5 linked regions of the Ovis aries genome follow. The protein of the gene in region 1 purifies or fractionates together with the protein of each later gene. This does not show direct contact. Links are inferred from orthologs where the notes say so. Each region holds a gene or a part of one and is shown in the gene's direction. Other genes may lie near its edges.

Evidence for each region.
Region 2: the proteins of MAPK1 (region 1) and ERF purify together in Homo sapiens (co-immunoprecipitation; 3 studies listed by BioGRID and IntAct, with this or other methods). This does not show direct contact. The link is inferred for Ovis aries from reciprocal best matches to the Homo sapiens genes MAPK1 and ERF.
Region 3: the proteins of MAPK1 (region 1) and DUSP9 purify together in Homo sapiens (affinity purification with mass spectrometry; 5 studies listed by BioGRID and IntAct, with this or other methods). This does not show direct contact. The link is inferred for Ovis aries from reciprocal best matches to the Homo sapiens genes MAPK1 and DUSP9.
Region 4: the proteins of MAPK1 (region 1) and STAT3 purify together in Homo sapiens (affinity purification with western blotting; 3 studies listed by BioGRID and IntAct, with this or other methods). This does not show direct contact. The link is inferred for Ovis aries from reciprocal best matches to the Homo sapiens genes MAPK1 and STAT3.
Region 5: the proteins of MAPK1 (region 1) and hyaluronan mediated motility receptor purify together in Homo sapiens (affinity purification with mass spectrometry; 4 studies listed by BioGRID and IntAct, with this or other methods). This does not show direct contact. The link is inferred for Ovis aries from reciprocal best matches to the Homo sapiens genes MAPK1 and HMMR.

What each region holds. Positions count from the first base shown.
Region 1 is NC_056070.1:72,033,107-72,039,111, forward strand, and holds the start of MAPK1 (mitogen-activated protein kinase 1), read left to right. Parts: upstream 1-2,686; 5' UTR 2,687-2,701; coding exon 2,702-2,735; intron 2,736-6,005. UniProt on the Homo sapiens protein: Serine/threonine kinase which acts as an essential component of the MAP kinase signal transduction pathway. MAPK1/ERK2 and MAPK3/ERK1 are the 2 MAPKs which play an important role in the MAPK/ERK cascade.
Region 2 is NC_056067.1:50,600,623-50,606,451, forward strand, and holds the start of ERF (ETS domain-containing transcription factor ERF), read left to right. Parts: upstream 1-1,906; 5' UTR 1,907-2,037; coding exon 2,038-2,059; intron 2,060-5,829. UniProt on the Homo sapiens protein: Potent transcriptional repressor that binds to the H1 element of the Ets2 promoter. May regulate other genes involved in cellular proliferation.
Region 3 is NC_056080.1:80,630,355-80,636,174, reverse strand, and holds the start of DUSP9 (dual specificity protein phosphatase 9), read left to right. Parts: upstream 1-1,990; 5' UTR 1,991-2,138; intron 2,139-5,820. UniProt on the Homo sapiens protein: Inactivates MAP kinases. Has a specificity for the ERK family.
Region 4 is NC_056064.1:42,219,423-42,225,318, reverse strand, and holds the start of STAT3 (signal transducer and activator of transcription 3), read left to right. Parts: upstream 1-2,281; 5' UTR 2,282-2,456; intron 2,457-5,896. UniProt on the Homo sapiens protein: Signal transducer and transcription activator that mediates cellular responses to interleukins, KITLG/SCF, LEP and other growth factors. Once activated, recruits coactivators, such as NCOA1 or MED1, to the promoter region of the target gene.
Region 5 is NC_056058.1:72,741,002-72,746,227, forward strand, and holds the end of hyaluronan mediated motility receptor, read left to right. Parts: intron 1-385; coding exon 386-562; intron 563-2,655; coding exon 2,656-2,818; intron 2,819-3,783; coding exon 3,784-3,803; 3' UTR 3,804-4,722; downstream 4,723-5,226. UniProt on the Homo sapiens protein: Receptor for hyaluronic acid (HA). Involved in cell motility. When hyaluronan binds to HMMR, the phosphorylation of a number of proteins, including PTK2/FAK1 occurs.

The sequences.
Region 1 (6,005 bases):
GATATCTTCTGCATTCTATGTAGGTGTAGGACTCTGCCTGTGCTTTTAAGCCTTATTATGGTGCTGTTCCCCTTATCTTTATCTGGCTGTATATGCCCCCATCTGGGTCATGGGTTTCACTGTGATAAACTTTACTCTAGCTGGGCTTCTCTATTCGTTGTATTTCCAAAGATTATTCGTCTCCTGTTTTCTGCTGCTGTGTAATATGGTGAAGTTGGTTTCGCAATGACTTTTTATTCTGTGTGTATTTTTTGGCGCGTCTTGTCTTTTTTTTATCGGGGGATAAGCACTTTACAATATTGTGTTTCTGCCATAGCTCAGCATGAGTCAGCCACAGGTAGACGTATGTCCCTCCCACGTGAGCCACCCCCCTTCTCCCTCCCCACCCCACCCATCCAGGGTGTCGCAAGGCAAATCCCCACCTGCTGCCTGGTTTGCACACGGTAATGAACATGTTTCCAGGCTGCCGTCTCTGTTCGTCCCCCCCTTCTCCCACCGTGTCCACAGTCTGTCCTGGGTCGCCATCGCTGCCCTGCAAACACGTTTATCAGTCTTTCTAGGTTCCAAATGCATGTGTTAATATACAATGTCTGTCTGCTCTTTTGACCATCTTTGCTAACAACAGTAAATACTCAGAGTTTGTCCTTTGAGCTGAGATTTTCATATTTTTATACAGGGATTTTAGCTACTTAGGTGTTTTTTTTTTTAACATTTCCCTTATTTGTTAGACCTACTTTAACTTTCTGTCATCTAATTTTCTAGTATTTTGACTTTATTTTTTTTTTTAATGATTCCTTGCCATTTCTTTTCTGATTATAATGTGAGGAAAGTGTCTATTACACCTCTGGTTATAGGTCTCGATTTTTGTTGTTTGAATTACCTTCTTCCCTTTATCTCTTGTAACTTGACACGAAGAGCTACCTCATTGAAAAAGACCCTGATGCTGGGGAAGATTGAAGGCAAAAGGAGAAGGGGGTGGCAGAAGATGAGATGGTCAGATAGCATCACTGACTCATAAGCACAAACTTGAGCAAACTCCGGGAGACAGTGGAGGACAGAGGAGTCAGGATGCGGCGACTGGACCACAACAAAAGCGGCAAATAGTCGATCAGGCAGACATAAAACTTTTTACACTGAAAAAAAAAGAAATTACGCGATCTTTTACAAGAACTCTTTTCTCCGTTTTATGCAAAACGAAGGCTTAGTACCTTGCTTTTCCCTCTTTCTTCCTCTCTGGTTTCCATTGCATTAATCTGAGGTTAAAACCCCGGTTTAAAAAAAATCCTCTTTCTCAATTTTTCCCTTTTGCCGTTTGTTTGTTACCATAGCAACAACAATTACTTCAGCTCATCAGCCTCAGTCTCTACTGAGTGGTGTTTTTATTCAGTTATCTCTCCATCTTTAGCTGGTTTCGAGGCTCACTGCCAGTTCTTTTCTCTCATTTCATCATTCATGAGTTTCTGATTCATGTCCCAGTGATTTATTGTATGATTCTGAGCAATTTTTGCAGAAAAGGGAGTTAGTTGGGTCGTGTATTAGTCACAGACTCTTGTGGTTGCAAGTGACAAAACCCTACCTCAAATTGACTTCAGTTAAAAAGGAGAATAGATATTGTCTCACGCACTTGTGAAGTCCAGCCTTGGCTGAATCGTTAGACCGTGTCGTCAGGAAATTGGCTCCGTCCCTGGACCCTGCTTCCCCGTCCCAGCTTTACCCTAGAGGGTGGTTCTCAGGCTGTGGCGTGTTTGGCCCCAGTCCCATACCCCCTGCCCTGGCAACCTTGGCGGAAGGGAAGTGCCCCTTTCTAGTTGCTTCTGCAGAAGGCTGGGCTGAGTGCCATTGGCTTGGATCAGGTCTCACGCTCATCTTTTGAACCAACATCTGTGACTCTGACTGGAGATCCCTGGGTCACAAGCTTATTCCTGACTTGGGGGGTGGGGCCAAATGCTCTAAGTGTGTAGAAGGGAGAGTTCACCCCCCACAGAAAGAAAACTGGATTGTTGCTACCAGAAGGAGAAGGGGTCAATGTAGGCAGAAAACAACAGATGCCCATGTCTTCCAAGACCACAGATCTGCGCACTGTCGCCTCTAGAGGGACACTCAGGAAGACATCCAGCAAGCCCTCTAAGCAGGGGCTTAGGTCTTGGGCTTCCCTGCTGGCTCAGCTGGTAAAGAATCCGCCTGCAATGTGGGAGACCTGGGTTTGATCCCTGGGTTGGGAAGATCTCCGGAAGAAGGGAACAGCTATCCACTCAAGTATTCTGGCCTGCAGAAGTCCGTGGACTGTATGTATAGTCCATGGGGTCGCAAAGAGTCTGACGCGACTGAGCAACTTTCACTTAGGCTTGGATAGCGGCTTCCGTGGGCTCCTGGCTCTCCAGAGCCATGTTCTCAGGTTCTCAGCTCCCTGCTTCTGGAAATTTGTCGTTGTCAGTCTAGCTAGATGATTCTCCCCACCGGGCCTGGCTCGCGCCAGCCTGACTCGGCAGAGGCTGATGTGTATCTAAACCCCATCTCGGAGGGAACAGCAATTGCCAAAGGACCTGAGCAGGGCTGTCTCCTGGTCAGTGCACTTTCCCTGTCGAAGACCACAAGGGAAGCCAGACTCTCATCACAGGGTTGCTTAGCGACCACAGAACCAGGCAAGAGAAGTTCTCCGGAGAAAGTCAGTGACTTTAAAACGCCCACAGATGCTAGAAGAATGAGGAGACGACACGTTACCCGCAGAGAGACAGGTATGTGGCGAGGTTGGAGGGCAGAAAAGAGCTGAGAGCTGTCTGGTCTGTCTGGAGCACGGGGAGCGGGCAAAATCAGGGTGGAGGGCAGGCGCTGTCATACATCACTTACATCTCAGCTAAAAAGAAAATAAAACAGTGCTTTCCCAAAGTGTCAGATGCATATGAAACCACTAGGGATCTTGTTAAAATGCAGATCCTGAGTCAGTAGATCTGGGGTGGGGCCCAGGATATTGTGTTCCGAACAGACCCCCACCTGATGCTGGTCTGAAGGCCACACTTTGAGTAGCAGTGATTTCCAAAATACTGAAAAAACAGAATGTATAGGAGTTTGCAATGGGTCAGATGCAGGGAGGGGTTGGGAGTAAGGTAAGATGCATTGTGAGGAGCATCCCCAGACCTCAGCTGCAGGACCTGGGTGGTGGTAGGACCCAGAAGCCTGAGATGAGGGACAGGTCTGGGTGGGGTCGATAGTGATCAGAGATGACATATACCGAGCGGTCGAGTGGGCCTTGGAAAGCATCGCTAGAACAGAGCTAGTGGAGGTGATGGAATTCCAGTGGAGCTGTTTCAGATCCTGAAAGATGATGCTGTGAAAGTGCTGCACTCAATATGCCAGCAAATCTGAAAAACTCAGCAGTGGCCACAGGACTGGAAATGGTCAGTTTTCATTCCAATCCCAAAGAAAGGCAATGCCCAAGAATGCTCAAAGTATGGGACAATTACACTCATCTCACATGCTAGTAAAGTAATGCTCAAAATTCTCCAAGCCAGGCTTCAGCAATACGTGAACCGTGAACTTTCTGATGTTCAAGCTGGTTTTAGAAAAGGCAGAGGAACCAGAGATCAAATTGCCAACATCCCCTGGATGATCGAAAAAGCAAGAGCTTTCCAGAAAAACATCTATTTCTGCTTTATTGACTATGCCAAAGCCTTTGACTGTGTGGATCACAACAAACTGTGGGAAATTCTGAAAGAGATGGGAATACCAGACCACCTGACCTGCCTCTTGAGAAATCTGTATGCAGGTCAGGAAGCAACAGTTAGAACTGGACATGCAACAAACTGGTTCCAAATAGGAAAAGGAGTACGTCAAGGCTGTATATTGTCACCCTGCTTATTTAACTTATATGCAGAGTACATCATGAGAAACGCTGGGCTGGAAGAAGCACAAGCTGGAATCGAGATTGCCGGGAGAAATATCAATAACCTCAGATATGCAGATGACACCACCCTTATGGCAGAAAGTGAAGAGGAACTAAAAAGCCTCTTGAAGAAAGTGAAAGAGGAGAGTGAAAAAGTTGGCTTAAAGCTCAACATTCAGAAAACGAAGATCATGGCATCTGGTCCCATCACTTCATGGGAAATAGGTGGGGAAACAGTAGAAACAGTGTCAGACTTTATTTTGGGGGGCTCCAAAATCACTGCAGATGGTGACTGCAGCCATGAAATTAAAAGATGCTTACTCCTTGGAAGAAAAGTTATGACCAACCTAGATAGTATCTTCAAAAGCAGAGACATTACTTTGCTGACTAAGGTCCGTCTAGTCAAGGCTATGGTTTTTCCTGTGGTCATGTATGGATGTGAGCGTTGGACTGTGAAGAAAGCTGAGCGCCGAAGAATTGATGCTTTTGAACTGTGGTGTTGGAGAAGACTCTTGAGAGTCCCTTGGACAGCAAGGAGATCCAACCAGTCCATTCTGAAGGAGATCAACCCTGGGATTTCTTTGGCAGGAATGATGCTAAAGCTGAAGCTCCAGTACTTTGGCCACCTCATGTGAAGAGTTGACTCATTGGAAAAGACTCTGAAGCTGGGAGGGATTGGGGGCAGGAGGAGAAGGGGACGACCGAGGATGAGATGGCTGGAGGGCATCACGGACTCGATGGACGTGAGTCTGAGTGAGCTCCGGGAGTTGGTGATGGACAGGGAGGCCTGGCATGCTGCGATTCATGGGGTCGCAGAGTTGGACTCGCCTGAGCGACTGAGCTGAGCTGAGCTGAACTGATTAGGTGCCAGGAGCTTTGCATCTGTTGTCTTATTCTGTGCAATAGGGAGGTAAGTGCTGTTGTGATCTCTGTTTTAAGAGTGGGGAAACTGAGGCCAAAGTCATACAGGTAGTAAGCAGAAAAGCCAAGGTTCAAGCTCTACCTTGCGGTCTGAGTGCAGGGCTCCTGCGGGTAACCGTCGACAGTTTGGAAAACGTGGAGCCGAAGCCCCTGTAGGTTGTCTAATGGATAACCTACCCTCTCAGACTCCTGCCAACTTGTTCCCATTTTTATTTGGCATTTTATTATTACAGAGGAGACATCGGCAGAAAACCAGCTTTCAGCTTTTTAGTTTTCGGCTGTGCTTTGAAACATACAGGATCTTCGTTTCCCAGCCAGGGATCAAATCTGCGTCCCCTGCATTAGATGGTGCTCTTAACCACTGGACCACTAGGGAAGGCCCAGCTTTCAGCTTTTCAAATAGTCCTTTTTTTTTCTCTCTCTCTCTTAAATGATCAAATACTGTGTTTTTCTATCTCTGAGAATTCAGGACTTTTCCAGACTATTATTTTTTTAATTCATTAATTAACTTTTGGTTGTGCTGGGTCTTCCTGCTGTGTGAGTTTTCTCTAGGTGCTGAGAGTGGGGGTTACTCTTCCTTGCCATGTGCAGGCTTCTCATTGCAGAGGCTTCTCTTGTTGCAGAGCAGGCTCTACGGGCTTCAGCAGTTGCTGTGAATAGGCTCAGCTGCTCCACAGCGTGTGGGATCTTCCCGGACCTGGGACAGAGGGAGTGTCTTCTGCATTGGGCATTTTTTTTTTTTTTTTTTTTTTTTACTACTGAGCCACCAGGGAGGCCCCTCCAGATTATTTCTTGAAGTTGGTTTCTGTTTATTTTTCTGGATTCAGAGAACTCACTCAATTCTCCCTCTCCACCCCAGATCTTTTTAGACCGAAGGCAAAATTTCTTTCGGTATAATTTATCACGTCTAATGGATTTGCTGTCTTCTTCGGGGGTGCCTATAGCTCGACTCTCTGTGGTGTTCTCCTGTGCGTTTTCTTCTCCAGGAGCTTCATCACTTACTTTTCCTCATAGTTGTCTTCTATGTTGCTGATCGGCCCTTCTGCGTCGTTCCATATGCCTTTTACTGCTCTGACCACCACTTTTACTTTGGCTATCGTGATTTTAATTTCAGGAGACGCTCCATTTTCTCAGCCTGTTCTTTCAAACCAATGTCCTCTTTTTAATTGAGAATAAGAATGAGGTGCTTTCTAAACCTGGGTTC
Region 2 (5,829 bases), on another chromosome or scaffold:
TTGCTCTATACAATCTCTCTCACATACAGGAAATAGCAGTTTGGGTTGCCACCCTGGTCTCCGTCTTCTGGTGGGAGTATAGAGGTCTCTGAGGCTGTAGTTTGGATCTATTATCTTTTAAACTTGGCATCATCTTTTTCTGAGGGGTGGGGCAGTAAAAGACATAATAAACTATACTGGTTAAGGGTGGTGATTTTGAATTGGATAGACTGGATTTGAATCCTGGCTCTGACAGTTTCTGAGCCTTGCTTCATTAATCTGTAAATGGGGCTAACAATAGGAATTCCCTTCTTTGGGGTTTTGTGAGGCTTCAATGAGAAGATGTCCCGACAACGCTTGGCCCAGCGCCAGGCACATCATGAGCGTTAGCAATTCGGGAGCTGTTATGATAACAATGATGATGGTTATTATTGCTGGACCACACTGCTCCCAGAGGGTTACAATATCCGTGGGGGAGCTGCACTGTCCGTAGGCAAGGTTACATAATTCCCCAAGGGGGTGATGCTTCCTGGGAGGCCCTGGTCTCCCCAGGAAGAGGCCTGAGACTTCTTCTGAGGCACTGCTCAGGGACTGCCCTAAGGCCTCTAGGAACCCACCAAAGGAGGGTGGGCTTGAAGCCCTAAGCACCCAGAACCTAACCCTTCAGGCCTTTCCTCTCTATTCACTTCTCCCTATCTTGGTTTCACTCTCTCTGAGCATCTCCTCCCCAACCCCCTTTCCTCTCTTTTGGTACCTCAGAGTCTTTTCTGAGATTGTTTCTAGGATCAGCCTGTGAATATAACTGCTGTTTGCCCTCTACTGTTGGCCATCTGATCATTGCTGATTTCCTGTTTCCCGAAGCCTCAGGCTCCATCCATTCCTCCCAGCTGCAGAGAACAGACTTAACACATCCCTACGCACTGGCCTTCATCCTTAAGCCCTGCCTTCCTCTCTCCTGGTGACCCCTTAGTGTCCCTGGGGAGCACATTTGTTCAGACTTTGGTCACCCCCTCGCATCCTGGCTCCACCCCCGGAACCCCCCTGCCCTGGAGGTGGAAGTGGGGGTACCTCCGGCGCCAGCGTGTTCCCAAGACAGCTGCAGTCGCAGATGGGGGGGCGGCTCTTGCGTGCTTTCTCTCTGGTCACTTCCTCCCCAGATGGGACTGGGGCTATCTGGAAGGCCAAGACCCTATCCCTGGAGGAGCGGAGGAGGCAGCCGCCTCCCCATTTCCGACACTGGGAAATGCTTCCCACCCATTCCACCCCACCCCTGGACAGCTGCCCCCAGTCAGGCTCAGGGTTGGAGGGGGTGCGCATGGTAAGGCCAGCCTGGGAAATGTGGTCTGGATCATCCTCCGAGGTCTTGACCCGACGCCCCCCCCCCCCCCCCCCCCCCGGCCTCCTGCAGAGAAAGTTCTGCCTCTTCCGAAAAGGTCCATACTCCTCACAAAAGTTTCTGACACTCATCATAAGGTATCCCCCAACCCCTCTTACAGGCTTCCAAAGAAAATGTGGACCCCGCAGTGGGCAGGAGAGGAGGAGGAGGGGCGGCAAGTCGCGGATCCTGAGGACTTAAAGTTATCTTCAGACTTGGAGCCTCAGAGAAAGGTCATGACCCCCAGGACCCCATCCTATCCCAGTCTCTCCTTCTCTCCTCCCCCGTCGCGCGGCCCCTTTAAGCCTAGCGCCGGCCGGTCCTCAGTGGCAGCGCGCCGGCGAGTGTGTGTGTGTGTGTGTGTATGTGTGTGTGTGTGTGTGCGTGCGCGCGCGTGTGTATGTATGTGTGCCTGTGTGTGTCTGTGTGAGTGCGCTGGGAGGGGGCGGGCACAGTGTCTCCATGGCGACGCGGCGGTGACGTCGCCGGCCGGGGGGCGTGGGCGTCCCGGCCCCGGAGTGCGATATTAACCCGGGAGGCGGCGGCGGGGAGGGGAGAGGCTCTGAGAGGCGAGGCCGGGTGAATCGGCGAGGGCGGCCCGACGTGCTCGGGACGGGACGGGGCAGCGCGGGCGCTGGGAGCTGCGGCCCGGAGTCGGGGCGCCTAGCCCCGGGCCCCCCAGCATGAAGACCCCGGCGGACACAGGTGGGGGCGGGGGCAGCACGTGTGGGGGAGACTTGTTGCCCCGGGAAACCAGGCGGAGAAACTTTGGGGGGGCTGAAGGGTTCTGGGGGAGCCCGAGTGTTCCCCAGTTGCGGGGGACCCCCCAAGCACTCGAGACCTGTTGCTTCTTGCGGTGCGAGCGGGGGTGTGCACCGGGCCCCCAATTCCTGGTTCTGGGCGCAGTGGTTGGGTGCTGCGAGTCCTGGTTCTTTCCTTGCCTGGACCCCAAAACCTGGGCTCTCCCTGACACCCGGGATCACGGGGGTGGCTGGGTTCCTCCCAGCCTCTCTGTCACGTTGCACTCCGGGGGCCGGGACGTGTGCGGGGTGTGTGTGGGGGGGCGCTATCCACAGGGCCCGCTATTCCCGGTTCCGCGCTGCACGGTCCGGCCCTTGACCTTCACCGCGATGCGTGCCCCGCACCGGCTTAGAGGGGGATACGGGATGGCCTCTAGGAGGAGGGCGTGAGTGGGGAGCCCGGGACTCGGGGTCCGGGCTGCGCCGCCCCTCCCCCGCCCGTCTCCGCCGGCTCCTCGCTCCCCCGCCCGCGCCGAGTCGCAAAGTTCCAAAGCGCAGCCCGAACGTTCGAAAAAGGAACTTTTTGTTTCCGACCTTAGAACGCGCGGCTTTAAGGTCGCTCCGGAGAGACCTGGGATCCCTCCTCCCTCGCCGCGGGGGACCTGGGGTTGAGGAGGGTGGGGAAGGTGGGGGGGACGCGGAGGCTCCCCCCCCTCGTTCCCCCTCCCTCATCCAGCTCTTCTCTTTCAACCGGCCGTCTCTTCCCTCCGCCCCCCTCTTCCCCGCCAACTTGCTCCTCCTTAAGGGACCAAGGTTCCCCTCCCCCCCCCTTCGGTCGGCGGGCGGGGGGCAGCAGGATTAACCCCCCCTCCCACTCGGACTTTCCCCCTTCCCCTCCCCCGCCGCCCCCGGGCTCTCCAAGGCTGGACTTTGCGCCCGGGCGCGCTGGGGGAGGGGTCCCAGCCGCCCCCTGCCCGTCTACCCCGTCGGAATCCGGCCCGGGGCGGGGACGGGGGAGGGGGAAGGGGGCCGGGCGCCGCTGTTCAAACTTGTTTCCTTCCCCCGGCGGCGGCCGCGGCTACGGCTCCTGTGTGCGGGTGTGTGCCCCGACCGGCCCACCCACCCCGCCCCCCCTCGCTGGGCGGGTGGGGGCGGCTCTTAAAGGGCTCCGAGCCGGGCTCGGGCGCCTGGGGATTGGGGGCCGAGGAGGGGGCTGGGTGTGGGCAGGGGCTCGGAGTGCAGTAGGGTCAGTCACGTGCGTCCCACATACTCTCTGGCTCCTGAAGGCTCCAGGGCCGCTGGGCCTCGGGGGCAGCCGGAGCCTCCCTTCGCCGGAGGAGGGGGCCGAGGGACCGAGACAACCCCGCCTCGTCTTCGCTCCCTGCTATGGGCCTTCGCCTGGTGGGACCGGCTGGGCCGCTCCCCCATCCCAGTCTTGGGGCCGCGCCGTGTGTGGGTTCTCTGGCTGGGGGAAGGGGCGGGAGCCTCTTCTGGCCTCCCGGTGGGTCCATGGGTCCATCTGCCTCCTGGCTGGCCGCTGCGCGCCCCTCCATCCGATCCTCTATCCCGGCCCCACTCTCCTCTGCCGCGGCTGTTTCCCACTTCCTGTTTTCTTCCCGGCCCTGGCGCCACCGAGGGCTGCCTGGAGTGGGGGAGGTGGTGGGGCCCCCCAGGAGGCCGGCGTGTTCTTCCTCTACCACTGCTCCTCCCTTCCGACCCCCATAGTCCTTTTGAAAAAAGTTTGGGCAGTTAAGGTGAATTTGAGGGGTGCCCGAGAATTCTGCACCCCGCGCCCGCCCCCCCACGCCCAGGTTTCCACAGTCTGTCTGGGAGATTCCCTACCCCGCCTGTGTGGGATCCAGGTGTGTCTTCTGGGGCCCCGCCATCCCAGCCCTTCCTGTCTGCTGCCTCTTCTCCACCCTGTCTGGCAGTGTCCTCAGTTTTTCTGTCAGCTGCTCTGTCTCTGCCTCACTGTCCCCCCCGTGCCCCGGAGGTCCTGCATCCCCAGGCTTTCTTGGTGTAGGCCGGGTGGTTCCCTGTTTTAAGCACGTGGACTCATACACAACATACACTCACACATGCTCCCCTTGCCCGTGCCTGGCTCCTGGCTCCAAAGCCTGGGGAACAGAGCCCCATTGAGACACCCTGACGTCACCCCCCATCTTCCTTCTCCCCCCAAAGCTGGGAACAGGCCCTCATGTATGCCGTGTCCGATGAGGAAAGCTGGCTTTGGGGTTGGCCTGGGAAGGCGGAGGGTCCCTGCCATGAGTGGGAGCCAGGGTCCTGGCCCCGGGGTGAGGTTGTTCAGGGAGGGGGCTTAACTAAGGGGGCCTGGGTCAACCCCCAGAATGCAGCCTGAGGCCTTTCCAGAGCCCCCCACCTCCCTTCTGAGTTCCCTTTGTGTTGCATGTAGTCTCTCTCACTCCTTCTCTTCTGCAAAGTTTATTTTTAGCCTCCTGCTCCCCCGCTCCCAGGACTGTCGCTGCACACACGTTGCCTGGTTACCGGGACAAGGAGGCTGGGGCGGGTGGGCTGGGAAGGGTGGCTTTAATTTTGGGGGGAGGGTGGAAATCAGTACACCCTCCCAACCCTAGACTGATGTCTCAGGGGCTTCGGCCCCCGCCCTGAGTCCAAGAGCCAGATTGGGGCTTGTTGGGGGTGGGGGCGGGGGCGTGAAGCTTGGTGCCATGAAGGGAGACAGGAGTTTTTTGGAGAAGGTTGGCGGGTACATGAAGTAGGCGGTCTCTTGGGTTCCCAAGAGCCTCTGGGCCCTGAACAAGACTGTTGGACCTGGTTCTCTAGCAGGGTGAGGATCAAGGGGTGAACACCTGGATTCCCAAGAGAGGGATGGGGCTGTGGATGTTGGGGTCCGTGGAAGGTGCTGTCAGGGGCTGTCACTTGTGAATGGAGCAGGAACTGCTGGTACAGGACCCTGGGTCTGTGACCAGCTGAGGTCATGTGGTCATATCCCTGGAGCCCTGAGGGACTGACTGGAGGCTGGGATTTTTGAATGGGGCAGGGACCAGGTGGGGAATGCTGGCCATCCCAGTCTGCCCAAGGCCAGGGGTCAGGGTTTAGAGTCAGCTCTGATTTAGAGGGAGTGGTCCCTTTGGGACCAGGAGCTGCTGATCCCCAGCGTCCCCATCGGGAAGGCTCCCCTGTTGGATTCCAGACTTGGGTGGGGGCTTTCAGGGAGATTCCATGTTGCCTCAGGTTGGGGTGGTGCTGTCTTCAGCTGGGGTTTGAGCCAGGGCCATGGAAGAAGGCTGGCCCTTGCAGCCTGACTGGGACTTGGGGACCCACCCATCCTTAGCTGTCCACCTTGGCCTTCTCCCTCTAGTGGCACCAGGGCTCCTGTCCTGCCTCCCCCCTTCTTCTCTTCCTCCCTTTTCCCTCCTCCCACCCCTCCATTACCGGCTGCCTTGTGCTGAATTATTGATGGCCCCTGATTACCCGGGGGTTTGGGAAATGACAACAACCGCAGCCCCCCCAACTCCCCCCACTCAGGCTGCCCACCCCCTCTAGGGACATACCAGCCCACCACCAACCTCTACCCAAGGTTAATGCTGGGGGCGGGTAGGTAGGTGGGCAGGGAAAAAGCTGAAGATGAGAAGGCAGAAGGGGGAATGGGTTGCAGCGAGCGATGCCTGTTCAGTGTTGAGGCCCTCCAGCCAGGTTGGGTCCATGTGCCCGGGTCTGGGTAGGGCAGTGCAGCACAGAGGGTCCCGGGCTTGA
Region 3 (5,820 bases), on another chromosome or scaffold:
CCACCCTGAGGTTTCTGTTAGGACCTGAGCATGCAGGCTTGGCTGCCTCAGAGGCAGGCCCAGCTGTGCCTTCAAAACAGCCTCAATTCTGACATGGCTGGCCTCTCACTCAAGTCCTCTTCGAGAAGGTTCTCCAGCTCATCCCTCAACAGGATCACAGGCTAGGCCTGGCTAGCCAAGCCCCTGAGAATGAGGCAGGTGGCCCCCGTTTCCCCAGGCAGACCAGGTCTGTGTCCTCAGAGCTCCCAGGACTGGCCTGGTGGTTCAGGTTAGCTTTCTTCGCTTCCAGCGCTGGGTGGGTCTTGTTGCCTGAAGTGCAAAGGCCCTGTGGGAGGGCTGGGATAGCAGCTCTGCAGGGGTGAGGGTGGCATCATCCAGTCCAAATGTTCCTCCTCCAGCCGTTCAGCCCTGAGTCACTAAAGCACAGAATTGGGGCGGGGGGGGGGGGTCGTCCTCCAACCTTTCCAGAAACTCCTCTGTGAGTCAGCTCACCAAGCCTTTGCAGGGGGCTGAGTGCCCAGGGCCAGGGGCACGGCTGCCGTGTGTCTTCCCCAAATGGGAGGGTCCCCAGGGGAGCTGGCCCCCATCTTTTCTGGTTTCTGTGTATTTTGCCCCTTGACAGACCAAAATGGTCCTATTGCTGAACGGCATGCCTTTTAGCACAGGCTGCTATCTTAGCAAAGGGCCCTCTGACTCCAGGACAGCTGGCAGCATGGATGGCACAGAAGCATGGGGCAGAGTGGCAGGACCCACCCAAACCACCACCGGTTTCGTTTGCCCACCTGCGTGCCATCGTCTTGGCAGTTTGATTCCACGCCAGCCCCTGGGGCCTTGCTGCTGAATGGGAGGTGAACGATCAGCCCGGCCCACAGATGCACCTGCCAGCAAGGGTAGCCCCGAAAGGCCCAGCCGCTCAAGAGGGAAGGGTGGTAAGGGCAAGCACGTGCTGAGGGCCGAAGGAGGCCAAAGGGCGGGCTGGGCCTGCCAGGCTGGTGGCATCTGGACCCTGCCCCAGCTCCCACACCCTGGAGAGAGACTGCTGCAAAGCTGGTGAGGGCCCTGGGAGATGGTGAGGTCTGCTCCATCCCCAAACATGCAGCCTCTGTCCTCTCTTTCCCAAAGGTGATGACTCAGGGGAATTCAGGCTACCGCTGGCATCCCAGCCCTCCCTGCGTCCCCCTCCACTCTGGCCCTGTCACCACACAGCGGCGTGACCCCCGGGAAACCACTGCCTCAGTTTCCCTACCTATAGCAGGGGAACCGTCTCCTCCAACTCCCAGATGGGTGTAAAAACCAAAGGAGGCCCGTTATGGGGGGCGGACCCTGGCCCGAGGGCCAGAGGAAAGCACCCCAGGCCTGCAGACAGCACCTCCTCCCTGACCCACCCCCACCGTCCTGGCCGCACCCCTTCCAGGCACTCAAGCCCCAAAGCTCCAGGAGCCAGAATCTGATACGGGAGGATGGCAGAAGACAGGGGTCGGAGGACCGCGGGTTGGGCGCTTCGGATGCTCTCACCCGGACCTTACAGCTTAGCCCCTGGGACATCAGGAGGTGGCCCCGGGGGCCAAGCTGTGCCTGGTCCTCGATGGCCGCAGGAGTGCCAGGGCGGACTGTTCCAGGCAGCCCAGCCCAGGCCCGACCGAGGTCAGGACCTCCCACCCAACTCTGGCGGCCCAGGCTCGGAGACCCCGCGGCGAGGCGGCTGGGAGCCGGGGCTGCAGGGGCATCCCCCCGCCCCCGCCGAGAGGGGCCGCCGAGGGCAGAGCGGGCTGCGGGCGGCAGGTGGGAGGCAGGCGGGCAGGGGAGGTGGGAGCAGACGCCAAGCAGGCCGCGGCCCCTCCCCGCTCCCTCCTCGCGCGCCTCCGCCGGCGACATTGCCCCTCCTGGGCAGGGGGCGGAGAAGACGGCGGCGGGAGGGGAGGAGGCGGCGGCGGCGGAGGCGGGATTTGGAGTTTCCCTCCGCAGCGGCGGCGGCGGCGGCGGCGGCGGCAGCGGCCCCTCGGCTCCAGGCGAGGCCGCCGCCCGAGGCTCCGGTGGCGCGCGGCGGCCGCGGCGGTAGCGCTTCCCGCCGGCCGGGCTTTCGGAAACTTCCCGGCCGCGACGCGCGGAGCCGGCGCAGGAAGCCGAGCGGAACGGAGGTGAGCGGGGCACGCGGCGCCCGGGCACCCACCCCACCCCCACCCCGCCTGGCCGCCCCCCCGACGTGTGTGCGCCTCCGCCCTGCGCCCCCAAAGTCTCGCCAGCGCGCACCCCGCCAGGCCGACGCACGCGCCCCTGGGAGACCCACTCAGTGCGCCCGCCCGTGCACTCCGTGTCCATGGCCACGCACACCCCCTGACACTTACACGCGCGTGCACAAACCGTGCACCGCGGACCCAGGGCCCTGCAGTGCACGCCCCGGCAGCCGCTAAGTCACCATCGACTACTGTCCCCAACTCAGGCCAGCACCCATCCCAGACGCTGCCACGCCTCAGTACACACCCAGGCGCGCGAGAGCGTGCGCGCGCGCGTTCACACACCCCACACACACACACACACACAGACGCACACACACACATAGATACCCAACACATCCTTGGGATATCTGCACTAACACAGCTCCCCTCGCCGGCCTGCACCATCTCCAACTCCCCATATGCTCATCACAGACACCCCACCCACGTTCCCAGCCCAGAGACGCTGACATCCACCCATCCCTGGACGAAGCCCCAACAGGAACCCTCACCCAGAGGCCGACGCTGCACTCCTGAAGCCCAGCTGGCTCCCCAGGCCTGCACCTCGTACACCCCCAATATGTGTGCACACCTGCAGGATTCTGGCTCTTGGACACCCTGGCCCGCACCCATGGCACATAGCCCTGCACGTCCTCTAACACATTTCAGTCCCTCCCTCCAACACCTGGCACACGGGTTCTGGAGGCTGCAGCATTTGGTGGCATCTCTGCCAGGCGCCACTGGCTCGCCTTTGCAGCAGTGGTTCACCACCCTGAGGCCCCCCAGGTGGCTCCCTAAACAGGCCCTGGGTCTCCCCAGAGACTGACTTGGCCTGGTCCCTAAGAGATAAGGAAGGCACTGGGGGTGCAAGGTACTGTACTTAGATGGGGGAGGGCAAGGGAGAGGCAGGCAATTGAGATGGAAGCCACCCAGCTGCGGCCAAAGGGGCCCCAGGTGTTGGCAAGCACATAGTAGGTGGCTTTCCTGGAGGCAGGAATCGGAGTGCCTGTGTGTGTGTGTGTGTGTCCGCCTGCCAGTGTGGTGGGGGGCGGGTGGGGGGAGGGTAGGAACCACGTGCACACGTGTGCTTCTGTGTGTCTGGGTGAGTGACCTGCTGAGGGAGAAAGCCACCCCCCGGGCTCCCTGGTGCAACAATTGGTTTCATTCATTCATGCCTTCTTTGTTCCCGAGCATTTCTTCCATGAGCGCCGCGTGCCAGGCCCTTCCCTGGGGGGCTGGGGCCAGCTCAGGGCAGGGTACACAACCGCTTCTGCCATGGAGGAACTCCCAGTCCCGCCAGGAGGCCGACCCGGCAAAAGCCATCCCCGGCGGAAAGTAGATGTGGAGGAAAAGACACCGGATTTGCCCGGAGCGCTGTGTCTGGGAGTTCTAACCGGGCCGGACGGCCCAATTGCCGCCACCAGGCCGGCGGGGACCCGAGTGTTTGGGGGTGGAGGCGGGCTTGTGGCGAGCAGGCGGGGCGCCGCTCTCGGGAGGCTCCCGGGCCCCAGGGGCGCATGGGCAGCGCGCTAGAGGCCTATGGGCAGCGGCGTTTCCGCGGCCTCCGAGGGGCACTGCTTGGGCTGGGCGGAGGCCAGGGGCGCCCGGCAGGAGAAGGGGGCGGGCGGCGGGCGCAGCGCCCACCCTACGGGAAGTGCGCGGCCGAGCTCTGCCCGCTTGAGAGGGCCTGGGGAGGCCACTGCGCGCCTGGAGCGCGCGCGCCTGGGAAGTGGGTGCGGGGCCCAGTGTCGGAGCCCCCACCTCAGCCGGCGCTGCGGGGGGCCTGGCGAGGGTCGGGGGAGGGGGGCTTGGTGGCACTCAGCCCTGCACTGCGGAGGTGGCAACAGGTTTCAGGATATCTTCCTGCTTCTGGCGCAGCGGGAGCTGCTGGCGCTGGGCAGTGAGCACTTTGGTGATTGAACGCCCCCCCCCCCCCCCCCCGCAAAGCTCACTCTCAGCTGACCAGCAGAGATCTGGGCAAGGGGCAGACCCCCACGACCCCCGCCCAGGGGCAGAATTTGCCTCCCTGGCCTGATGCTGGTTCCCTCCCCCAGAGAGCCCTCTCCAGAAAGCAGGCCTTGGCACGGCAGGGCGACCCTCTCTCCAACCCCCGAGACCACAGCACCGGACAGGAGCAGGGTGTGTCTCTCTTGGGCAGCCACCCCCACTCTGGCGACTTGGCCAAGCCAGACACACCAGGCTGGCACATCCCGGAACCCCTGGGTGCCTTCAACCCCAGCCCACTCCGGGGTCCTGCCCACAGCTGCAGCAGGCCTGGAGGGAGCCCCCCAGGGTTGGTGGCTTCCCACCTCTGCCTGTGGGAACTGGGATGTGAGAGAAATGAAATGCACACACAAACCCCCGCCCCCCTCCACTCGGCTCCAGCCTAGCTGGTAACCTCAGGGAACTGAGGTCTGGAGCACAGAGGAGGGAGACAGAAACCTGGGGGAAGGGGAGTGAAGAAGGAATAGAATCAGGACAGGCTGCAGAGGAGGCAGCCCAGGCTAAGGGCGAGGGGACCCAGCCCAGCTGCCCACGGCCCCTGGAGCCAGGTGATGGGACTCATCCCAGAGACCAAGACATGGGGGAGTGTGGCTGGAGACAAGTCTCAGCCTGGTGGCCCACTGGGCTGGGAAGGGAGGCAGGGTAGGAAGGGGCAACCAGAGGCCCCTATGAGGCAACCTGGCTATCTGTGACCTGCCCTCTCCCCAGCAATACCTCTTGCTTTTTCCCATCCTATTTTATGTTCTGATCAGTGACCTTCCAGCAGTTTTGCACCTTTCACTCCTTAGTTACCCCTCTTATGGTACCCATCCTGTGTGCATAGCTTTACCTCTGTTTACTTAGTTCCTTGGGGTAGATTCCCAGTGTGGGGTTCTTCCCAGCTCTGGATATATATTACCAAGTTAATTTCCCAAAGAGTCACACCAGCATACCTCTAGCAATCAGCAACAGAGCAACATGCCCATCTCACAGCAGCCATGCCAGCACTGGGTATTCTCAATCTGAGAACATTTTACTAATGTAACAAGCAGGAAGTGTTACCTTGTTTTCTGTCATTGTTAGCTGGGCTTTTTTTTTTTTTTTCCTTCCCATGTGTGAAGTTGTACCTTTCTCCAAATGACTTGCACCAGTTGCATGTGCTCCTTCATGCAGTCTTTTCTGGTTCCTTGCCCATGTGCCTATAGGAGTCTCAACTTTTTGATTAATTTGTATGAGCTTTCTTTTATCTGCTGCACACCTTCCTTCAACTGGCCTATTTGCTTTAGGGCTTTAAGAAAGAAAAAAAAAGTGGGGGGGGGCATAGACCAGACTTTTCAGAAGCTCCACCACCTCATTTCATTGTCTTAGCAATTATCACACCTGGTATTCTCTCATTTCATCCCTCGGTTTATTACTGACCTGTCCTGCTGGCCTGGGAGTGCCTTGCAAACAAGGGCCCAAGTGTGGAGGCCACCGTGGGGCCTTTGCTGTAGGGCAGGGCTGAGGGGAGTTGAGGCAAACAGGCCTGGAGATGGGGAGAGGGCTTTGAAAGCTCTGATGGCGACCTGGGCCAGCACAGGGGGCAGAGGGGACAGTACAGAAGTGAAAGACATTTGATTAGGCA
Region 4 (5,896 bases), on another chromosome or scaffold:
TCAGGTGAGAGAAACTTCTGTCTTCAAGCCAAGGGGGGCTCTGTAGTATGGAGAAAGGCCAGTGGCTGCACTGGAGAGAGGTTTCATAGGTGAAACAGATAGATTCAGGGGTAGATTTTCTGTGTGAATTGAGAGGAGGGCAGTGAGGGAAACAAAGGTCAGCAGAGGAGTCTGGAAGGAGGGCAGGGTTCAGGTGGATGGAACAAAGTTGTGAGATGTAGATTCTAAAAACCTGGCTCTGGGGACTTCCCGAATGGTCCAGTGGCTAAAACGCTGCACTCCCAGTGTAGGGGGTCCAGGTGTGACCCCTGGTCTCCATCCCTGGTCAAGGAACTAGATGCCACATGCCACAACTGAAGAGCTCACATGCCGCAACTGAGGGAAAAAAAGACCTTGCCACGAAGACCCAGGGCAGCCCAACAAAGAAATAATAAAGACTTTAAAAGTAATAAATATAATACATAATAAAAACCTGGCTCTGAACCCATCTGGTATACCTCTGAGTATCTGTGATCTTGAGATGATCATCCTATTTCTATCATAATTTCCTATCAGTGGATAATATAGCCTCTATCTGCCGCTTATAATTGTTGTGAGAAACAAGAGTGTATCAGTAAGAAATATATAAATATCAGCCCCTATGTTATTAAGGAGGTAGTCAACTGCATGGGAAAGCACAGCTGAAGCAGAGTTTAGGTGAGGTGGAAGGTGGAGGATCTGCCCTGAAGGGAAGATTAAGATGAATGCAGTCACACACACATACACACACTACAGACAAATATAGCAATTTCCAGGCTGGGCTGGGTCTATGGGAGAGCAATAGGAAACTTGCAGCTCCACCAGGAAAGACCCTACCATTTACCCTATAGATGCTCTCACCTCTTTATTTGCATATATGGTGGTCCAAAGGTCTAAACTAGGGAACCAGAAGAATTTGTGAGTAAAATGTCATGCTGTGTATTTCTGGGACTAGAATCCATAGTCTCCAACAAACTCTCAGATTCCCCAAAGGTTAGGAGTCATTGATTTTCCCACCAGAAATTAAAGAATAGCTATCCTTGGCGAGAAGGACTGGTGGGGGAAGGAGGCATATTTTCAGTTTTAATTTTCACGTTTTCTGAACTGTCTGAATTTTCTAACCACAAACATGTGTTAGTTTCATTGAAAAAGCTGTCATCAAGGTTTATTTGGGTGTTGAGATAACAGGCCCTTTTTAGATTTCATCTTTAATACCTCTTTGTACTAAACAAACACTAATAGCTGTTATTTTTAAAAACCCTAATAGTCTTACACACACACACACACACTATAATGCAAAGAACATCTATTATGTGAGGTGAAATGTCTACATTTCCTATAAACTACTGGTTAATGCAGTAAAACTTTCATTCGAAGTAGATGAGGCGAAAAAGATAAAGGCACGCAATTTCAAGTATTTCAACTCAGACGCATAAAAACAATGTGTATACGTGTCATTCTTCATTGGTACTGTCTCCTTATTCCCTTGAACCTGCCAATGTGCGAGCCGTTGGCCTTTGATGCTTGAAGCGACGGAACGAAGGGCAGGGTTAAATCCACTACCTTCTCCCCACGCACTCTAGTAATTACTCTATTTCCACGTCATGTTTCCGGGTGTGTGTGTCCCGACTCACGCAGAAACTGAAGTTCAAAGCAGGCGGGAGTAACCCATGTTCTTTTTGCTGTCCCCAGAAACCCATTTCGGGCGTTGGGCCCCTAAAGGATCTGGCGACACCTGAGGACTGTCTAACTGGCTGATTCCCACGTGGTAAGTGCCCCCAACCTTGCCCCCACGTGGTGCCAAGGGCCGGGAAGAGGGAGAGCAGGCAGAAGGGAGCCGCATCAGGGGCATTTAAAGTGTCTTGACGTCACGCACTGCCAGGAACTCAGCTGAGTTTTCAGCAGGACATTCCAGTCATCTTCCCTCCCTCCCCCCGGGCTCCTCTGCCCAGGGCCTTGGTTCTTCCCCAGTTGTTGCGGAGGGAGGAGCCCTAAGAGTCGGAACAGCCAGAACAGGGGCGTTCCCAGCCTTGTATTGGCTCCGCCCTTCCACCCAGAGGCTCTCTTCATTGGCCAGTGGGTGGGGCTTCGGATGTAGAGTCTGCTCAGCAGGGCTTCTGGGTGGCCGAGAAAACTGGTCATGTTATGAATTATACATGAGCGGCGTGCCTAGGCCAAGCGGGGGCTGGGCGGGGATTGGCTGGAGGGGCTGTAATTCAGCGGTTTCCGGAGCTGAGGCGGCGTAGACAGGGAGGGGGAGCCTGGGGTTCCGACGTCGCCGCGGAGGGAGAGAGCCCGAATCGGATCCCTGACGAGCACCCCAGCTCCGCGCTCTCCCCGCTTCTGCCAAGGGAGACTCCGCGGCCTGAGGGAGCCCCGCGGCCCGCACCCCGGCGCAAGCGCAGCCCCGGCCAGTCGGGCCTCAGCCCGAGCAGCAGGTGAAGGGGGTTTAAGGGTGGGGCTGCCCCCCGACGGCCTCCAGGCCTGGGCATCCCGGGGGAGGAGGGGCGCGCTGGGAGCTTCTGGGGTGTTTGGGGGAGTAGTGAATGGAAACTTCAGTGGGGTCAGGGGGATACGAGGAGACACGGAGAGTCGCTGTGAAGGGACAGTTCCCCGGGATGACAGGAGCCGACCTCTGAAGGGACGGGGTGCGCTGGAAGGAAGTTTCGTTCTTTGGAAAAAGGGGAGACGCAGAGGAAGAGAGAGAATGGACTGGAGGGGGAGGACCGTGGGGCGAGGGTACTCTAGGGTTGGGGGGCAGGAGCGAGGGACAGCCCCCCGACTTCCTGCTCCCTGGGGCTCTGGGGACGTTCCGGCCACGGGAGCCACTGTCACGCCGGCGGAGATCACGGAGTGGGGGGGGGGGGGTTGGCAAGCGCCTCCTCCCCGCCCCTCGGCGGGCCCGGCGTCTCCCGGCTGAGCCACTTCCTCCGCCTTGCCCTGTTCCTGCTCCTTTAGGAGCCAGCTGTGCCCCCCTGGAGGAGGTAGGAATAGGTGTCTTCCCTTTACAGCCTTGCGGGCTGTTTGGTTATGGGTAGGATTATTGCATAAGATTCAAGTTTCCTGTAGGGAAATTGACAGCCTTGTACTCTTTCTAAACTCCCCCCAGCCTTTTTCTGGGGTAAAGTCGTGTTTCCCTTCTCCCTCTTCCAAAAAAAATCCAAATAAAACCCCCATCAACCCAGCTCTAAAGAGAAATAAACCTTTTTCCTCCTTGACATTGTTCTTTTATAACCACCTGGTAAACTTGGCCAGAAGATAAATAATTGAGCCCTTGCGTTTACTGGATTGTGGTGTTGCTTAATTGCATAGAACAGAATGAACCAATAGAGAGTGGGAGTTTTCTGTCTCAGAGCCAAGATCTTGGGTAAATGCGGAGAGAGAAACAAAGACAGGCTGGCCTTGGCAAAGCCATGTGTGCAAACTTTACCTGTGTTTGGGGGTGTGGTTGCACTTCAGTTAGCTTAATTCAAACCGTCACCTGAGTGGTTTTTTCCATGTTTAGTCCACATCTTTCTGTGTTATATCAAGTGGATGCATGATATTGACACACTTATTCTTATTAAAAATGTATATAACATGTCCTTGCTGGTTGGTTAAATAAATAAAGGGCATATTTATTCTGTGTGTGGGTTGTAATTTTTTGGTTGGCTGAGCTAATACAGCATTGGTTTGAAGAAATCAGAACTGTAAATTATCTCAATCTTTTATATGTGGATTTAGACTGTTATGACTTGATTTAGCCAATTTTATGTTTTATATCAAATATGTCTGTACTCCCTGAGTCAGCACATTTATTTCCTTATTACATGTGCCAGGCTGAGCAATGGCACCCCACTCCAGCACTCTTGCCTGGAAAATCCCATGGATGGAGGAGCCTGGTGGGCCGCAGTCCATGGGGTCGCTAAGAGTCGGACTCGACTGAGCGACTTCACTTTTACTTTTCATTTTCATGCATTGGAGAAGGAAATGGCAAGCCACTCCAATGTTCTTGCCTGGAGAATCCCAGCAACGGGGGAGCCTCGTGGGCTGCCGTCTGTGGGGTCGCACAGAGTCGGACATGACTGAAGCGACTTAGCAGCAGCAGGCTGAGCTACTAGTAAAATTTTTGCAGTGACATTTGCACAGTGGGATGGAGGAAAGAAGTCTTTAATACCAAAAAAAAAAAGAAATTGTAGATGCTAGAGGCTTTTTTTGTGTGTATTTATTATTTATTTATGGCTGGATAGGGTCTTAGTTGTGGTGTGTGGGTTCAGTTGCCCTGAGGCATGTGGGATCTTAGTTCCCCCACCAGGGATTGAACCTGACTCCCCTGTATTGAATGCGCAGATTTCTTAACCACTGGACCACAAGGGGAGTCCCTGAGGCTTGACCTTAATCTCTATATTTGCTAGCATATCTACCACAAAGAACCACTAGAAAATTCATAAATCTTCTATCTTTATATGTAGTTCTTTTGGGAAGAATAGCCATCTAGAAATATCCATAGTTATGACTTGACCCACAAAGGGTAGATAGTTCATGTAACCTTAACTCTGCTTTGAAGATAAGGAAATTGAGGTGTAAGGAACGAGACACTTGCCCAGGCAGCAACATACCATAGTGATGGAGCTTGTACCTTCTGTATATTTTGTTTGCTTTTGACTATCTATGCTTAAGTATTAGGTCTTAATTTAGAGTGACTGTAGGCCCTACTGGGAAAAGTGTCAGTGAAATTCTAACACATACCTAGACCATCAATATCCTATAAGACTCCAAGGGAGATATTTAAAATAAACAGGTGAGTCCCGTTTAGGTTATTACAGAATATTGAGCAGCATTACCTGTGCTATACAAAAGGTCCTTTTTGATTATCTCTTGTAAAATAGCAGTGTGTACATGTCAGTCCCAAACTCTCACTCTCCTTCCCCTCAGGTAACTTTTTAGTCTGCATAATTTACCATCAGAATTTAGCTATTTGCTAATGGAAAGAGAGATTTACTGAGGCAGGTTTGTAGGTGAAGGACAGTCATGACCTAAATGTCATTTAAACCAAAGTGTCTTGTGGCTTAATCAGTGGTCATTTGTATCTCCAGAAGGTTGCTCTTTCCTCCTGCCTCTGCATGTCATGACTTTCAGATGGTGAGACAGGGCAGAGGTGGTGGCCATCATTCCAGAGGCCGAGTCCAGCACCTTTAAACCTTATGGCTTTCTCAGAGGTGATGTACAGATCAACAAATATTTACTTTTTACACCTTTGTGAAAGTTGTTATGAGGAACAAGATACCTTGTTCACAGACCTTGCAGTCTACTGCGACATCTTCATAAATTTCTTATCCATGTAATGCAACTTGATTTCCTCAAAGAGATGGTGAGACTATAAGCCCATCCTGTCCAGCAAGGCAACTGTTACATGTTTTAAAACATATAGCACAGATTTAGAACATTTCCATTATCACAGAGTGGAATGCTTCGCTGTTGGACAGTGCTTCACTAAGCGCTACAGGTCTTCAGAAGGAGGAGAGGTTATGAGTTGTCTAGAAGTCTTCTTGCCAGAGGAGAGATTTGATCTGAGACCCACATAATGGTTGGCATTTGACTGATGTAAAGAATTCGGGGCGAGGAGGTATGGTGATACAGCACAGACCCAATTCTAGTAGATTAGCAAAGTAAATGGAGGAGGAGTAAGAGGTCTTGAATGCCAGGTCAAGGAGTTTAAAGATTTTTGAAGCCAAATATTGATGTTTAATTATGGAGTGCCTACTACATGCCTGACCTTGGTTAATTTGTATAAAATAAATGGGTATGTGTGGCCTCCACCCCAGGGAAGTTGTCATTGAAGATGACCATATAAACTGGACCAGCACCCAAAAAGAGGGGTCCTGATTTTGCAGATTTG
Region 5 (5,226 bases), on another chromosome or scaffold:
TTTCTTTCTGTTTCATTGATCTTTGAAATGAAAAACAACTTTTTATTTAAAAAAAAAAGACAATTTATGGAGAGCCCTAAGCGTGAGTCAGTAAATCTATTTTTGTTTTTTGCCTTTTTTGTTGTGGTGGTTGTTGAGATTCTTGTGTAGATATTTATTATTTGGCTGTACAGGTCTTAATTGCAGCATGTGGGATCTAGTTCCCCAACCAGGGATCAAACCTGGCCCCCCTGCATTGCAAGCCTGCAGTCTTAGCCACTGGACCGCCAGGGAAATCCTGTCTTGCCGTTTTACTTTCTTTCACTTTAGTTTTCCTTGTAGTTAATATGAGTCAAGTAGGATTTAATAGTTTTAAGTCTTAACTTTACAAAAAAATCTTTTTCAGCTACAACTGGATGCATTTGAAGCAGAGAAACAGGCTTTGTTGAATGAACATGGTGCAGCTCAGGAACAACTAAATAATCTAAGAGATTCATATGCTAAATTATTGGGTCATCAGAATCTAAAGCAAAAAATCAAGCATGTTGTGAAACTGAAAGATGAAAATAGCAATCTCAAATCGGTTTGTAAAGTCACGTTTACTTTTATTGATATTGGGGTGGGTGGTTTTTATTTTATCATGGTAATACTGACTTCATAAAATGAGTTAGGAAGTGTTTCACCCTTTCTATTTATGGAATATTTCGTGAATTATTGGTATTCTTTACTGAATGTGTAGTGGGATTTAGTGGTGAAGGCACTGGACCTAGACTTTTCTCTGTGGATGGTTTTTGATCAATAATTCAATCTCTTCACTTGTTATAATAGATCTATTTAGATTGACTATTTCAACTCAAAACCTATGGGATGCAGCAAAAGCAGTTCTAACAGGGAAGTTTATAGCGATATAGTCGTACCTCAGATTGGCTATTTCTTCTTGAGACAGTTTCAGTAGTTTGCGTCTTTCTAGGAATATGTCCATTTCGTTTTCTGATGTGTTGGTTCACAACTGTGTGCCATATTCCCTTACATTCCTTTTGATTTTGATAATATCAGCAGCAATGGCCCCTCTTTCATTTCTGATTGTAGGAATTTGAGTCTACTCCCTTTTTTTTAAGTTCCTTTACTTCTTCAAATGTTTATAATGGCTTTAAACCCTTTTTTGGATAAATCTGATACTGGGTTACTCTCTGCGCAGTTGTTGTTGCCTGCTTTTCCCCAGTGTATAAATCATGCTTTCCTGTTTGTGTACTTTGTAATTTTTCTGTTAGAAAATGGATGTTTTAGACAATATGTTGTAGCACCTCTGGGTACTGCCATCCCTTTGCAGGTATGTTGTTATTTTCTTGTTTAGTGCAGTGTATTCCTCCTCCCCACTCCCCACTAGTTTGTGCCTCTGATGTTGCTGCTGAGGGAGGTTCAGTTTGGGGTGTGTACACAGTCACCCTGAGGTGATGCTGGTTTGGGTAAGGCTGCCTCCCTCTCTCCCTGATCACACATAGTTGCTGGATTATCCCTCTGTTATTTTCAACATTGCCCCAGGTCTTAAATTCCTCAACAGATTAATGTGTACAATCAATGTACAATCTGATTCTGGTTCGTTTGTTGGAACTGTGTTTTAGGTCAGTGATTGACTTTGTTCTGGCTCCAGGAGGGCTCCTCCCACCTGTCTTATTCAGCACTTCTCTTCTACAAACTAGGCAGCTTACAATTTAGCCCAGTTTTTAATCACTTCCCATTCCCTTGCACCACACAGCCTCTACTGTTCTTAAGGGCATCCTTCAGCTTGAACTTCTCTAAGCTCTGTTGTAAGTGAAGTCACTTGCTCTGGGAATAAATTAGGAGCTCTGTGTTCTCCTCCTAGGCAGAATTTCTGAGACAAGGCTTCAGATCTGGATTTGGGGGTGATGGCAAGCTTTCCTGTGAATAAACACCTCTGTCCCTGTAGCTGGAGGTTTAGTAGACTTGGGGGAGAGGGAGATGAGCAATCTGAGGGTCTCTCACTTTGCGTCTGTTGGCTTGGAACCATTGTCTCATGAGCTAGGTAAAGGGTGATCAGGGTCTGGGCATTTTCAGCACCCTGCACCTTGGTTTCTTGAAAGAAAAGACCCCCACACACACCTCTTAGCCACATTTGCTGTTGTTCAGATCAAGGAAGAGCTGGGGGCAAGATGAGAGATGCTGACATCCTGCTCCTCAGGAGAAGCCTCTGACTGGGAGCGTGGGGTGGGGGGATGGGGGTTGTGGGGAACCCTCTGCTCCAGTCTGCAGAGGTCTGGTGTGGAGTCTCTGCTTTGCTAAGCAAGTACTAGGGCGAGAGGGAACAGGATTAGTTCAAACACAACAGGACATTGCCTTTTTTAAAAAACAAAAAGCGCTTTTATGGATCTGCTTGAATAATTGTTTCTTCACTTGCTATTTTACCTTAAGGCCATTTACTTTTATCAGAAATACGACTTTGTACCTATAGAGGGACAGGAAGATTTAAATGACTTGTTATCTTCTTTGTCATAGCTGTTCATTTTGTAATTTATAGTCTGAAAGCCTGTATGCAGTAGCTTTTGCCATTAAGGTTTGAAAAAAGAGCAACTGTGGAATTGTCAGTAATATTCGTAGCACATTTCGCTAACATGATCTTCAGTAATTATTTACTGATTGTATTTTTTCTTACAATAGGAGGTGTTAAAACTCCGTGCTCAGCTTACTAAAAGAAAACAAAGTGAAGCAAAACTTCAGGAGGAATTGAATAAAGTTCTGGGTATCAAACACTTTGATCCTTCAAAGGCTTTTTGTCATGAAAGTAAAGAAAATTTTGTTCCCAAAACTCCATTAAAAGAAGGTAAGAAATGAATAAACATACAGAACTGTTATCTTCCTTTGGATTTGCTTTCACAGCACTGTGCAAGTTATCTATCTTTATGAACTGTGAAAATCTGTTAACAGTTTCTGATATCTTATATCTTTCTTGAAAACTTATCGTACTTCTTTCTCTCTTTATTTTTTTATATTATTTACTTATTTGTTTGTTTGGCCATGTGTAGTCTTAGTCGCAACACGCAGGATCTTTAGTTGTGGCATGCAAACTCTTAAGTTGCAGCATGTAGAATCTAGTTCCCTGACCAGGGATTGAACCCAGGGCCCCTGCATAGGGTGTGTGGAGTCTTAGCCACTAGACCACTAGGGAAGTCCCCTTGTCTGCCTTTTTTGCTCTTACCCACTCCCTACCAGAATTAATCCCTCTATTACACCCTTGACATTTTGTAACCTAAACATCCAATTTGTAATTTTGGAGAAGTAGATTTTTCCTTTTTTCTTTTATTTTACTTATTCACTTTATTTTTGGCTGCACTGGGTCTTTGTTGCCGCTCTTGGACTTTCCCTAGTTGTGGCGAGTGGAGGCTACTCTTCACTGCGGTGTGAGGGTTTCTCATTGTGGTGGCTTCTTTTGTTGCGGAACACAGGCTCTAGGGCACAGGCTCAGTAGTTGTGGCACACAGGCTTAGTTGCTCCTTGGCATATGGAATCTTCCTAGACCAGGGATTGAACCCGTGTCCCCTGCACTGGCAAGTGGATACCTATCCACTATACTACCGGAGAAGTCCATTTTTCTCACTTTCTTGACTACAATCTCTGTATCTTTGGCAATAAACTGAAATTGGCTGAAACAGCAAATGAAGAAATATAAATAAAATACAAGTATTGCTTCATCTTTCTTAGAGAAGGTAAACTGCTTTTTGTTCATAATGACCGATGCATTAGTTTTAATTTAGAAAACTAACACTGCTGTTTTAATACTCCTTCCAGGCAATACAAACTGCTCCTGAGCTCTTAGTGGAGTTTCAAGAATCATGCAAGTAAACATCTGAAACACCTGTTGAAGATTATTTTGTTCTTACTATTTTTATTATTATTATTTTGCTTGCTATTGTGTTTATAATATTTTTAAAATCTCTTATTTAATACTAACTTCCTGTCCTTACATATGTGAAAGGAAGTTAGACCGTTTTTACCAGTGTTCTCTGAGATTCTAGTTACAATTGTCAGTACTTCCTCCTTGATGCTCACCCTTATTACCTCATTCTAAATGTTCTGACGCTTTCCAGCTTTGCTCGCTCATCCCATCAAATCAGTAATCTTAAAAATCATTCTCATACTATCATTTCCCTATTCTGAAACCTTAGGTTTTTTTTTAGTTTGATGTGGAATACCTTTTCTAGTCTGAACCTCTTATGCTAGGCTAAAATATCTTGGCTTGTTCTTGCCACTACTTTAATTCTCCTAATAATGTTCATTCTGTCCCACCATCATCCATTTATCCAATTCGAATAAGAAATAGAGGCAAGCTTTTTTCCATAGTTATCCCTTACCAAAGCCACTAAGTTGGTTAATAATTTGCAGGTTTCTAGATCCCATCCCAGTCCTCTTAAATTATACTGCAGTTTGGTCTGGAAATCTGCCTTTTTTTTCTCCTCATAAACAGCAGTTTATGTTTTCTTAGAAACTCTGCTTGTAACCTCTTTTTTGCCACACCACGCACCAAGTGTGGAATCTTAGTTCCTGATTGAGAATCACACCCATGCTGCCTGCATTGGAAGCATGGAGTCATAGCCACAGGACTGCTGGGGAAGTCCCTGCTCATAACCTCCTTAGAGAATTTGTCTAGCTGCTTGACATCTGCCTGATTCCTGGGTGTTTGATTAATATTTATATATCATGAAATAAAATTACACGTTAAATCACTGACCTAATTATACAACTTGTATTTTATGAAATCATATTAATTCTTCTATTTAAGGTGCATTCATTGTCTCTGCCCTCCTCTCCCCATACTGTCTCCAGAATCACTAATGGTATTAATAGTATACTACTTAGAAAGTGGTCATTCTTCACCTAAAATACCTGATCTACACAGTTGGTATATTATAAGCCACCTTTTTGTCATATTTCCCCATTGATGGACCAACAGAGACTATTTTAATCAGGATAACTTTTCTTAATAAATTATTTTATTAGATCTTAATACATAGTTAAGTTCAAAGGAAATGTAGAAATTAGAAAAACTGCCCAATAAAATGGAATCATTCAAGATTTCTGCTTTTAGCCAAGATGAAGTAACATGGATCAGATTTATTGCTCCTCCTCCTACCCTACACACACACACACACACACACACGTGCACACACATGTGCACACACACATGTGCACACACACGCACGCATGCACGCACATGCACCCTAAAACTATCCA